Rattus norvegicus: one gene and its partner. The protein of the gene in region 2 purifies or fractionates together with the protein of the main gene of each other region. This does not show direct contact. Links are inferred from orthologs where the notes say so. Each region holds a gene or a part of one and is shown on either strand. Other genes may lie near its edges.

What was found. The genes of interacting proteins can lie anywhere in the genome.
Region 1: the proteins of Max (region 2) and Tfdp1 purify together in Homo sapiens (affinity purification with mass spectrometry; 5 studies listed by BioGRID and IntAct, with this or other methods). This does not show direct contact. The link is inferred for Rattus norvegicus from reciprocal best matches to the Homo sapiens genes MAX and TFDP1.

The regions. Positions count from the first base shown.
Region 1 is NC_086034.1:82,899,968-82,904,727, reverse strand, and holds the start of Tfdp1 (transcription factor Dp-1), read left to right. Parts: upstream 1-1,561; 5' UTR 1,562-1,747; exon of another isoform or gene 1,748-2,370; intron 2,371-2,556; 5' UTR 2,557-2,619; coding exon 2,620-2,631; intron 2,632-4,760. UniProt on the Homo sapiens protein: Can stimulate E2F-dependent transcription.
Region 2 is NC_086024.1:101,392,346-101,397,266, forward strand, and holds the start of Max (protein max), read right to left. Parts: upstream 2,946-4,921; 5' UTR 2,751-2,945; coding exon 2,715-2,750; intron 2,657-2,714; exon of another isoform or gene 2,518-2,656; intron 2,039-2,517; coding exon 2,012-2,038; intron 1-2,011. UniProt on the Homo sapiens protein: Transcription regulator. Forms a sequence-specific DNA-binding protein complex with MYC or MAD which recognizes the core sequence 5'-CAC[GA]TG-3'. The MYC:MAX complex is a transcriptional activator, whereas the MAD:MAX complex is a repressor.

The DNA of each region.
Region 1 (4,760 bases), on a different chromosome or scaffold from region 2:
CGTCTTCACGTCTCTGCCCCTTCATAGCCTTCTTCAGTCCTGGCACTTTACCTTCTCTAAGTGTCTTCCCATTTCTGTCTGTCGCCCCACCACCTGTGTGCTGCTGCTCTGGACCTGTTTGCTCCCCAGAACTCTTCAGACTCCCCCTTGCTGCTGTCACTGCTCTGCTGATGCTCTGTGGTTTATCTCTTCATATTACCAGTCTAGCTTGTAAACCGTCACCTGAGAGGAGTTCCTATTGGATGAAAGACTCTCCCAGCTTACTGAAAAAGTTAGCCAAATAGCTTGTTTATATAGTCAGAAATGGGGTGTGGCAAGGATGTTTGCACCAATCACAGCCTTTCTGCTCAGCCATTACAGATGCTTCCCCCTCCACCCCACCCCCACCCCCTCCCATCCTGGGTGAAGATGGTTACTAGAGCTTACTAAAGCTTGTGATGGTAAGAGGTCTGGTGCAAGCTATTGAGATACTCATGCCTTGGGTATTGCCTTCTGGAACGGTAGCTGTGCTTTAGCAATAAGCTGCTGTGGTTACAGTGTTGCTTCCTCAAAGCAGCTGAGGAAGAGTTCTAAACAGGACAGCAGCTTGAGGACTGTTCAGTCAAATGCTAACTCGTCTGACCAAGGAAGCTAGGTAATAGAGAAAGATCTGTTTGGGAGTCAAATTTGGCTTCTCCACCCCTCAGAATAAAATTTGGTCGCTCACATTAACAGTTGTCTGATAGTACTGAACAGCGCTCTGGTCTTTAGTCCCATATGCTTGGGAAAAGTTGGGTCATTTTATCTGAACCACTTGGACTGATTTGCAAGCCACAGTCTATTCTTCTCCCAGGCTCTCCAGCTTTAGTCTTACACATACATACACACACACACACACACACACACACACACACACACACACACACCTGTCTTTCAGGCTGCTCCCTCTGACTGCCCAAGTTCAGGCCCTGTGGCTGTGGAGGTCAATAGTTGAGCAGAGGTGGGGGATCTTGTCTCTGCATTGTCCAATATGCATCCTAACAGCCTTTACTTTGTTCTGTATAAATGTACAAGACTCCTCCCCCTGTGGTGCACATGCAGGTACTTTAAAGCACGCTCAGAACTGGTCATTTTTTTCCCTTGTGTGTACACACTCACCTATTCTTTTCAGTGTGCAGGCATTAAACATAGGTATCCATATTTGTATGCACAGAGGGTTCTCTTCTATATATACGTCCAGGCATGCACACACACGACTCATACTCCATGAATACACACGTGTCTGTATAGCGAGACTATGGATATACACAGGTGTGCACACATCATCCTTTCCCTATGTGTACATGCAGGTATGGCACACACCACAGACTTTTCACCGTTGGCGCGCGTGGCACACACACATACACACAGAGGCAGACACGTGGCCCTCTTCTCCCTGCGCATGCACACAGACATGCATACAGTTGGCCCTTGGTGTACACACACAGAGGCGCGCACACACGTGGCCTCTCTCCGAGCGCACATGGAGGCGCGCGCAGCGCTTTTCAGCGTCGGCGGCCGCCACACGCGCACGCGCGCACAGGTCCCTCCCCTATCCCAGGGCGGGTAGCACCGGCGAGAGGCGCGGGAGATGAGCGGCGGGAGGAGGAGGAGGAGGAGGGCGCCGAAGGCGCGAAAAGGCGCGCAGGCGCGCTGCGCGGAGCGGGCCCGCCGCCGCCCACGTCACCGCGCCGCGCGCACGTCACGCCGGCCCGACGCTCGGCCCAGGGTGAGCCCGCGTCCCGGCGCCGCTGGCTCAGGGCAGGGACCGCCAGGGCCGGACCTCCGGGCCGGCGCCCCCGCGCCCCCGTCGTCCGCCCCGCGCGCCCCGCCGGCCAGCCAGGTGTGGCGGGGGCACCGGCCGGTCGCGGCGGGAGGGCGCGGGCTGGGCGCGCGGCCCCGTTCCCGCCCCAGCCCGGTTCCCGCGTCCGGTCGCATCCCGCCCGCCGCCCAGCCTCAGCCCGGAGTCGGCCTCGACGCGGCGTGGCGTGGGCGGCAGGCAGGGGTCCTGGCCACCCTCCGGCTCTGTCCGCGCCAGCGCGCGAGGCTGGTGGCCGGGCCTAGTGACAGGTGGGGCGGCCGGGCGGCCGGGAGCCCACCTGTCAGAGTGGTCGGCGGCACCTCGGGGTCTTGGGCAGCCCCGGGGCCTGCTGCAGCCCGGGCAGAACCACGCAGTGTCGTGTGCCTAAGTGGGGGGCCTTGTGACTCGGTGGGGCCTGTGGTCAGGCGGGGCCCGCGTGCCCAGGTGGGGTGAGCCTGACGGCTGCGCCTCGCTCCGCCAAGGGGCCGGGGTCTGGCCCCTCTGCGGGTGGGAGCTGCTGGTGCCCGCAGGGAGCATTTCCATTTGGAGAGGTGACTTAAAATCCCTGTGTGGGACCTGCTTGGCTAGCTCTCCTGTTGGGATTGTGCAAGAAAGGCCCCTGCTGCCTGGAGGCCTGCCTCGTGCTGGTGGGGAGATGTTTCCTTTGAAATGCGATGTGCGTTAAACTTCTTTTTTTTTCATTCTCATTCATTACTCGTCCCCTTCCTTTTTACCAGATAAGTCCGGTTTCTTCTGTGGAGGGTACGCAGTTAAAGCCTTGATTTCCTGGATCTGGTAACATGGCAAAAGATGTAAGTATGAGTTCTGCATGCTGCAGACATGTTAGCATAGCTCGCTGCAGTTCTCTCCCTTTATTTGAGAGTGGCCATACCTGCGTGGCAGTGGTTTGCTCAGACATTTTACAGGCAGGAGCTGGGATGGAGGTGAGGGGTGGCCAGTCAGTAGGTGGGTGCCTCCCCTCCGCACAAATGTTCTTTGTCATCTGAAGCCTGGCACGTTTTTTTTTTTTTTTTTCTTTGTGGTTAAGATGATGATGTCTGGATTTTTCTTTAATCTATCTAAACCGCTTGAATACAAAATTTGTGTTTGAATGCATCTCCCAGTTGAAATGAACGTGTGAGGGGGGTATTTTGCTAGTGGGTTTCCACGAAGGAGAGCTGTCAGCATGCAACTTACGATGCATTATGCATGAAACTTAACTTGTTTTATGTAGTATGTAAGACCGTAATTCCACTTTGATGGGTTGAATCCCAACTACTTGTTTGGGCACATTTTTCTCTCAGAAAGATGACGTTTGGTGGTTAATGAAACACGGAAACGCTGGTTGGTTAAGCTTCGTATTTACTACAAAGCTACTGAGCATTTGAAATTTCTTTTTTGAAATGGGTACTGACAGTTAGGCTTTTAGGGGGCAAAAATACAGTCTGTGATTTTGGTCACATACATGTTCGCAGTATTACTTTATAACTCCCTCCAACACTGATCGTGCCTGTGCCAGTGTTTCAGCATTCACTGTCCTTTGACTATTAGATGAGTGTAATTTTCTGTGCAGCCCTGAAAATGCAGGCAGATAATACCACATCAGCTAGACTTGTACCCAAGTGCACTGAAACTGTGGCGCAGGTACCGAGTCTTGTCCTGACTTAGAGGCCCAAGGATTTAGTCATGCCTAGTGGCCCACCTGGATCAGACGGTGTCCGTCTTATGGTCATCAAGCACTGGACCTGCTCTTGGGAGTCGAGTTCCACCCTGAGAGACCGTGTGTAGGTCACCTGAAGTCACAGCTGTATGTGGCGTGGGGCTCGATTTCGTTATGTCTGTTGTTTGCCTGCCTCCACGTCCTGACTCTTCCCCCCGTGTGTGCCTAAGGAGAGACGTGCCGCTCAGTGCGTGCCCACAAAGTAGCTAGGTCTGGTAAACGGTGTGTAAGCAGGGCACTGGCTCCCGTGCCTTCGTTGAGACCCCATGGCCTGGTGTGGTTTCGGGGATCATTGCATCTTCTTCAGTGATCTTCAGTGAGTCAGCATGCTCCAAGTCCTGTCACCTCAGTTTTGCATCATGCACTCCTGTGTGCTGTGTCCCTGGGGAAGGGGTGGGTGGGTGGGTAGACACCATGATGGCAAGTGGTCAGGATGTCCTATCCAGTGGAGAGTGTGAGGCCAGCTGGTTTGGGGTTAGCCATTGTGGTATGGTGAGGCCAGTGCTGTGACTGGGTAAGAGCGCTGCTGCTTTGTCCCTCCACAAGTGCGCACAGACCTGGGCAGAGGCGAAGCGGCTCCCCCTGTTCTCTGGCTGGAAGTGGGGGTTGCAGGGTTGGGCCTTCCCTGTGCTTTTTCAGTAGGATGCAGTATTGGGGTTTGGAAAGGGACTTTGTAACCTGTGCTGAAGGGTAGGAAAGAGGCACCACTGGAGCTGTGTAAGCACTTGATGCTTAAGACGAACTCTGGCTGTAAAGTGCACTGTCGACATGGGGCTCGGAAGGCCATGACGCTGGCGAGAACAGAGGGGCAAAAGTCACGCTCTAGGTCTCAGAAAGGGCAGACAGAAGACAAATAGCTTAGGGGCTTTTCTGCCCCTGCTGGTGCCCAGGCAGAGCATCGAGTATGTTGGGCTCCCTGTGGACTGTGGGCTATGGAATGGGGCAGGCAGGAGCTGGCAGACGAGCAGTGGTAGAGGGGTGGTCTGTGCCTGCAGGTACTCGGGGTCTTTCCTGTGGTACTGTAGACCGTTCATGGGGACAGCATGTGTGCAGGTTGGGCCATGAGAACCCTGCAGTGGGAAGAAGCTAGAGAGGCCTCATACGAGCTGGTGTGTCTTCATGCACTAGGTCGGTGCTGACGCTCGCTGCCTGGGGAGCTGAGCTGTCTTACTAGGAAGATAGTGTTCTTGAATTTGTCAATCATCAGAAAAGTTCATCCGC
Region 2 (4,921 bases):
AGCTGAAAAACAAGACACAAAAGGGATTTGACGTTCTATTGACAACTGTGTAAAGCTTCATTAAGAAAACATCTTCAGTGAGAATCTCAGAACAATCCTTAAGACCTCTGAGATAACTGCACTCAGAATCAATCAGTTCCCAACAAATGATGTTTCGGGGGTCTGCACAATCTGATGCCCTAATGAAGAGCAGAAACACTGAGGAGCTGGGTCCTACACTTGAGCTGTCACATCTGCTCCCCAGAAAAAGAGACAGAAGCAGAGAATTCTTGTGCAGAATCTCATGCTGTAGTCCAGGCTGGGACTCACTCTATATCCCAGGTGGGCTTAAAATTCAGGGCAACCCTTCTGCCAAAGCCTCAGAAGCCCTGGGCTTACACACTGGGTCACAACCCAGGACTCTGTGCTGTGTTGGTTTTTGTATTAAGGAATTGCAGAGGCAGGCTCGGATGTTTGATCTTCCTACCTCAACCTTCTGAGTAACTGGGTTTACAGGCCTGAATAATCAAGCCTAGTTACATCCTGCAAACTCTTTACAAGTCCTAAGCAGCTGTTCCACGTATCATTTTAAAGATCAGATAACTGAAGCTAAAGAGACAGCTCAGCGGGTAAAGGCTTTGTAGTCAAACCTGATGACCCTAAATTCAATCCCCAGACCCACGTGCTGAAAAGAGAACTGACTCCCCCAAGTTGTTCTATGATCTTCACATGAGAGCCATGACATATGCATGACCACACACCCACACGCCCACCCACCCACACACACACACACACGTTAAATAAATAAATGTAATTAAAAAGAAAAATCAAGTAGGTTGAGGCTGTAGCTCCATGGCAGAGGGGTTGCAAGGCATCCTTAGGCCCTGGGTTCAATTCCCAGCACAGTCAAAAATTAAATGCATATAAACACACCAGAAAAAGTAATAATCTGTGTTTCTAGCATATTAACATTTCTCATAAAGTTAGAAGTTCCAGGGATATGGCTCAGCCCTGAAGGTAAAAAAAAAGATCTGGCAGCCTGAGCTCACTCTCGGGGAGCAAGCAGCAGAGTTAGGTGGCTACTTCAGAAGGGGTGTGCATCCTTCAGTGCATACACCAGTCCTCACCTTTCCCTCTATCCTTCACGAGCTCATTACCTGGCCCTCACAGGAAAATGCACTCTACACCCCTTTCTTACCACTTCCAATCATCAAATATTACATTTGTTTCTCTTCTCTGATTGGATTTATTCTGAGTCTATTCCTTTTCTCTCTCCCTAATCTATACCCATTTACTCCTAAGCCTCAGACTCCAAACACAAGGGAGCATAGGGTCAACTCAAAGCCAGAAACACCCATAAAAACCATTACTATCACAATCCTAAGAAGTCCCATCCATCACCTTCCAGCGAAGCTATCTCTTACAGTGCCGCTTAGCAATAATTTTTTTTTTCTTCTCAAACGGAAAGTCAGACCACAAAAAGCGGTGACACTCTCAGTATTTAACTTCTGGTGCCTCTCTTTCCCATTGTTGTTGTTGCGAATAAAGCGTTTTTCTATATTCTAGGGGCTGTAGCAGTCTTTGTAGCAGACTTTGGCTAAAGACATTGATCTTTATGCGTGCCTGCGACTTCACACAACTATGGAGACACTGCTTAAAGTTTACCTCCTAAATAAACCTGACCAGTCTGCTCTGAAATAACACTACCATTCACTTCGGAATGCTCTTTCGTTTCTCACACGCCTCGGCTGCATCCTTCACTGAACACTACAGAACTCAGTTCGAAGCACAGGCCTCCTCTCACTCACCTAGCTACCTACCTACTCACTAGAATCTACCACCTGAGAATCCAGAATCATGAGGATTTGCAACGCCCCCCTCCTCCAACCCCAAGTGACTCCACCTCACCTTAGCGGTTAAGAGGAGTTTACAAGACTATTAAAAGTAATAGAACGATCTCTTTTTCTCTCTGACTCCAAAAAGAACGAAAACTGAACGGAAATGAAAATGAAATGGAGAGTAGGAGACGTACCGCAGATTGAAACCTCGGTTGCTCTTCCTGGAATAAGAGAGAAAAAAAAATAGAAAATATAGAAGTTATTTTCGCACTTCGAATTCAATAATAAGAAAGAAAATGCCGGCGGCGGAGGAAGCAGCGGGTGGGTAGTCAGCCTGACACCCCTCCCTCCCTCTTTTCCCTTCCACTCTCTCCAGCGAGAACCCGTAGCCTAGTGGGGGTCCCAGGCGCTGCCCCTCCTTCTGGGATCCGAACCGGACAAGAGGGATCCGGAGCACTGTCTGCTCTTTCCCGATCCCTCTCGGGCGTCAGAGCACTCCCAGCCCCTTCACCCCCAGGATCAACCGGTCACCGGAGGAGGGAGATCATGGACCCAATGAGCAAGAACTGAGCGCTGGTCTCCTTGCCCAGGATCCGGACGGATAATGGGATCTCCAGCCCGGCAGAGTGGAGAGGGAGGCCTCGACACCCTCCTCCACGGGAGAATGTGTGGGTCCCGGAGGCCGCGTGTCTGCTCCCACCTTCAGTCCCAGGAGGCCTCTCCGGACAGGACTGGAGGGGAGCGAGCCTGGAGCGCGACGCAGGCGGTCCCGGCCCCGGGGGAAGAGGACGGAGGCGGCGGCGACCCGGCCCCCCTCCCGCCGTCGCCTGGCTGAGAGCCCTGGCCGCTGTCCCCGCCTGACAACCCGAACGGAAAGGAAGAAGCCCCGGGACTCACGTCGCTCTCCACCTCGATGTCATCGTTATCGCTCATTTCCTACGGCCCAGGGAGCGGCCACTGCAGCGGCGGCCGGGGAGGGGAGGGGTGGAGGGAAGGGGGAAGTCACCGACAACAACAAGCCGAGTGCCCCCACGCACACACTCACTCACTCACTCGCTCACTCACTCACACACTCACACACACACAACACGGGCGACAACCACCTCACTGTAGCACCGGATCAACGGCGGCACGCACGCCCGATCGGCCCCCTAACACGTGACCGGGCTCACCGCGCCGGGGTAGCTGAGACTTGTAGTCCTCGAGCGTCTGATGGGCGAGTGGGAGAGAGCCAGAGAAACTACAAATCCCATCAGGAACCGCACACAGTCTTCGTCAGACCCGCTTGTTGACAGAGCGCAGAGCGCCTGCGCCCCGGGTGTTGGCTGCGAGAAGTGGCGCGGTGCTTCCCGGGAGATGTAGTCCATAGACCGCGAGTTGTCAGGAGATTTTCCTCCCCAGGCGGCGGAGAGGCTGCTGGGAAGACAGGACACGTGGAGGGAGCTGGGCTCCTGGAGCCGGCCACAATTCTGAGCTCTGGGCGCCCGGCCCAAGGGATTGGGTGGAGGCTCTGGGGGAGAAACTGGCTGCCAAAATAACACTGTCTCTTCTTGGCTAGACTGCTTTTACATTGTCTTGTTTAATGCTTGAGTCGCTCCACTTGCGCCCTGGGGCGTAACCTACGGGGCAGGAATCACGCTGCGGCTGACCAGGGGGCGCGGTCCAGACGCCCACGCGGACCCTCTGAATCTGATTTTAAAGTATTAAGAGGCATTACGAGACAAGCTAAAGGACCGACTTCACAGGGGTGTCCTTGTCTCAAGAGTCTTGCTTTCATTTGTCGTAGAGAACTGTCCTTACTGGGCTTGAATGTTTACAAAACCTCTCGAAGGTGCAAGTAAAACCTACCTTATGTTTGTCGTAGCCAGAGCAGATTAGGGAGTGCCCCCGTTTAGAGAACTCTAATTAACTGCAAACAGAATCAAAACGGGAAAGTTGTGCAGCTTCCTGTCCAGTTAAGGTGATACTCACACAACTAGGTATGAAGTTTAACTACATTCATCCCGCCAATATTTAACTATCTAATAATGTGGCAGGCCAGGAATGGCATGTGTCCCCTCAAAGACTTCACAGCTGTGGAAGCAGAAAACCGGACGACGCTGTCACCTTTTTTAGTGTGAGCCAGGTCCTCGATGAAACAACAAACAAACAACCCAGTAATAATACACTTTCGTCTTCTGAGAAATTTTATAACTGATCTTCAAAGTGAGTGGTCTTGAGTTTGATCCATGAGTTACTGGTTGGTTTGTTGTTGTTGTTTTTGAGTAAAAAAAATCATTAAGTTCCTGACTGTTGAGTACAGAAACTTGGTGGTGTATACAATCTTTGTGACTCCTAGCCCAGGCTGGCCTTAAAATGGGTGTGTGGCCAAGCCTAGTGTTGAGAACACAGTCATAAGCAGACACTGACCCGTAATAGAAGTCAAGGTCTGTAAGGGAGACAAAGACAGTAAGAGTTAACTGGATACCAGAAGTAGAGACAATGGGTGATCACAGCAAACCATCCTTGTATACCTCCCTGCAGTGTGCAGAGTATTACCAGACATCTTTAGCTGCAAGTTAGTTTATTCAGAGACTTTAAAAAAATATCCTAGCAACCACAAGGCCCTGGGTTCGGTCCCCAGCTCCGAAAAAAAAAAAAAAAAAGAAAGAAAAACCCTCATGCCTGCTCCATGCCCCTGCTCAGTTAAGGCAAAACCTTTGGGAGGGAGTAGGACCAATGAAAGACAGTTCTTCATGGTCTTCAGGTGATTCGTATGTGAAACCTGGAAGATGCCAAGGCAAAGACGAGCTTTCACTGAATTATATTCTTTCAAGGAGTGGGCTTTATGATATATTAATAATTATATGTCAACAAATCTGTTATAAAGATAATCTTTGCTCACATGGCTACAATCTAACGAGGGAGTAAATTCTAAAATCACTGTAGGGAAGGTAGACACGTCAAGCAGACTGTATGACAGCAAGCAATATGAATTTAGAGGAGAGTGCCAGATTTCGGGGAGGGCGGGAAGTAAGGGCCAGGTGTCCCCTAGACTTCCAGGACAAGGGCTAGGCCTATGAAGAGCCAACCAAATTCAGCTCACCATGCATCTCCACGTGTTG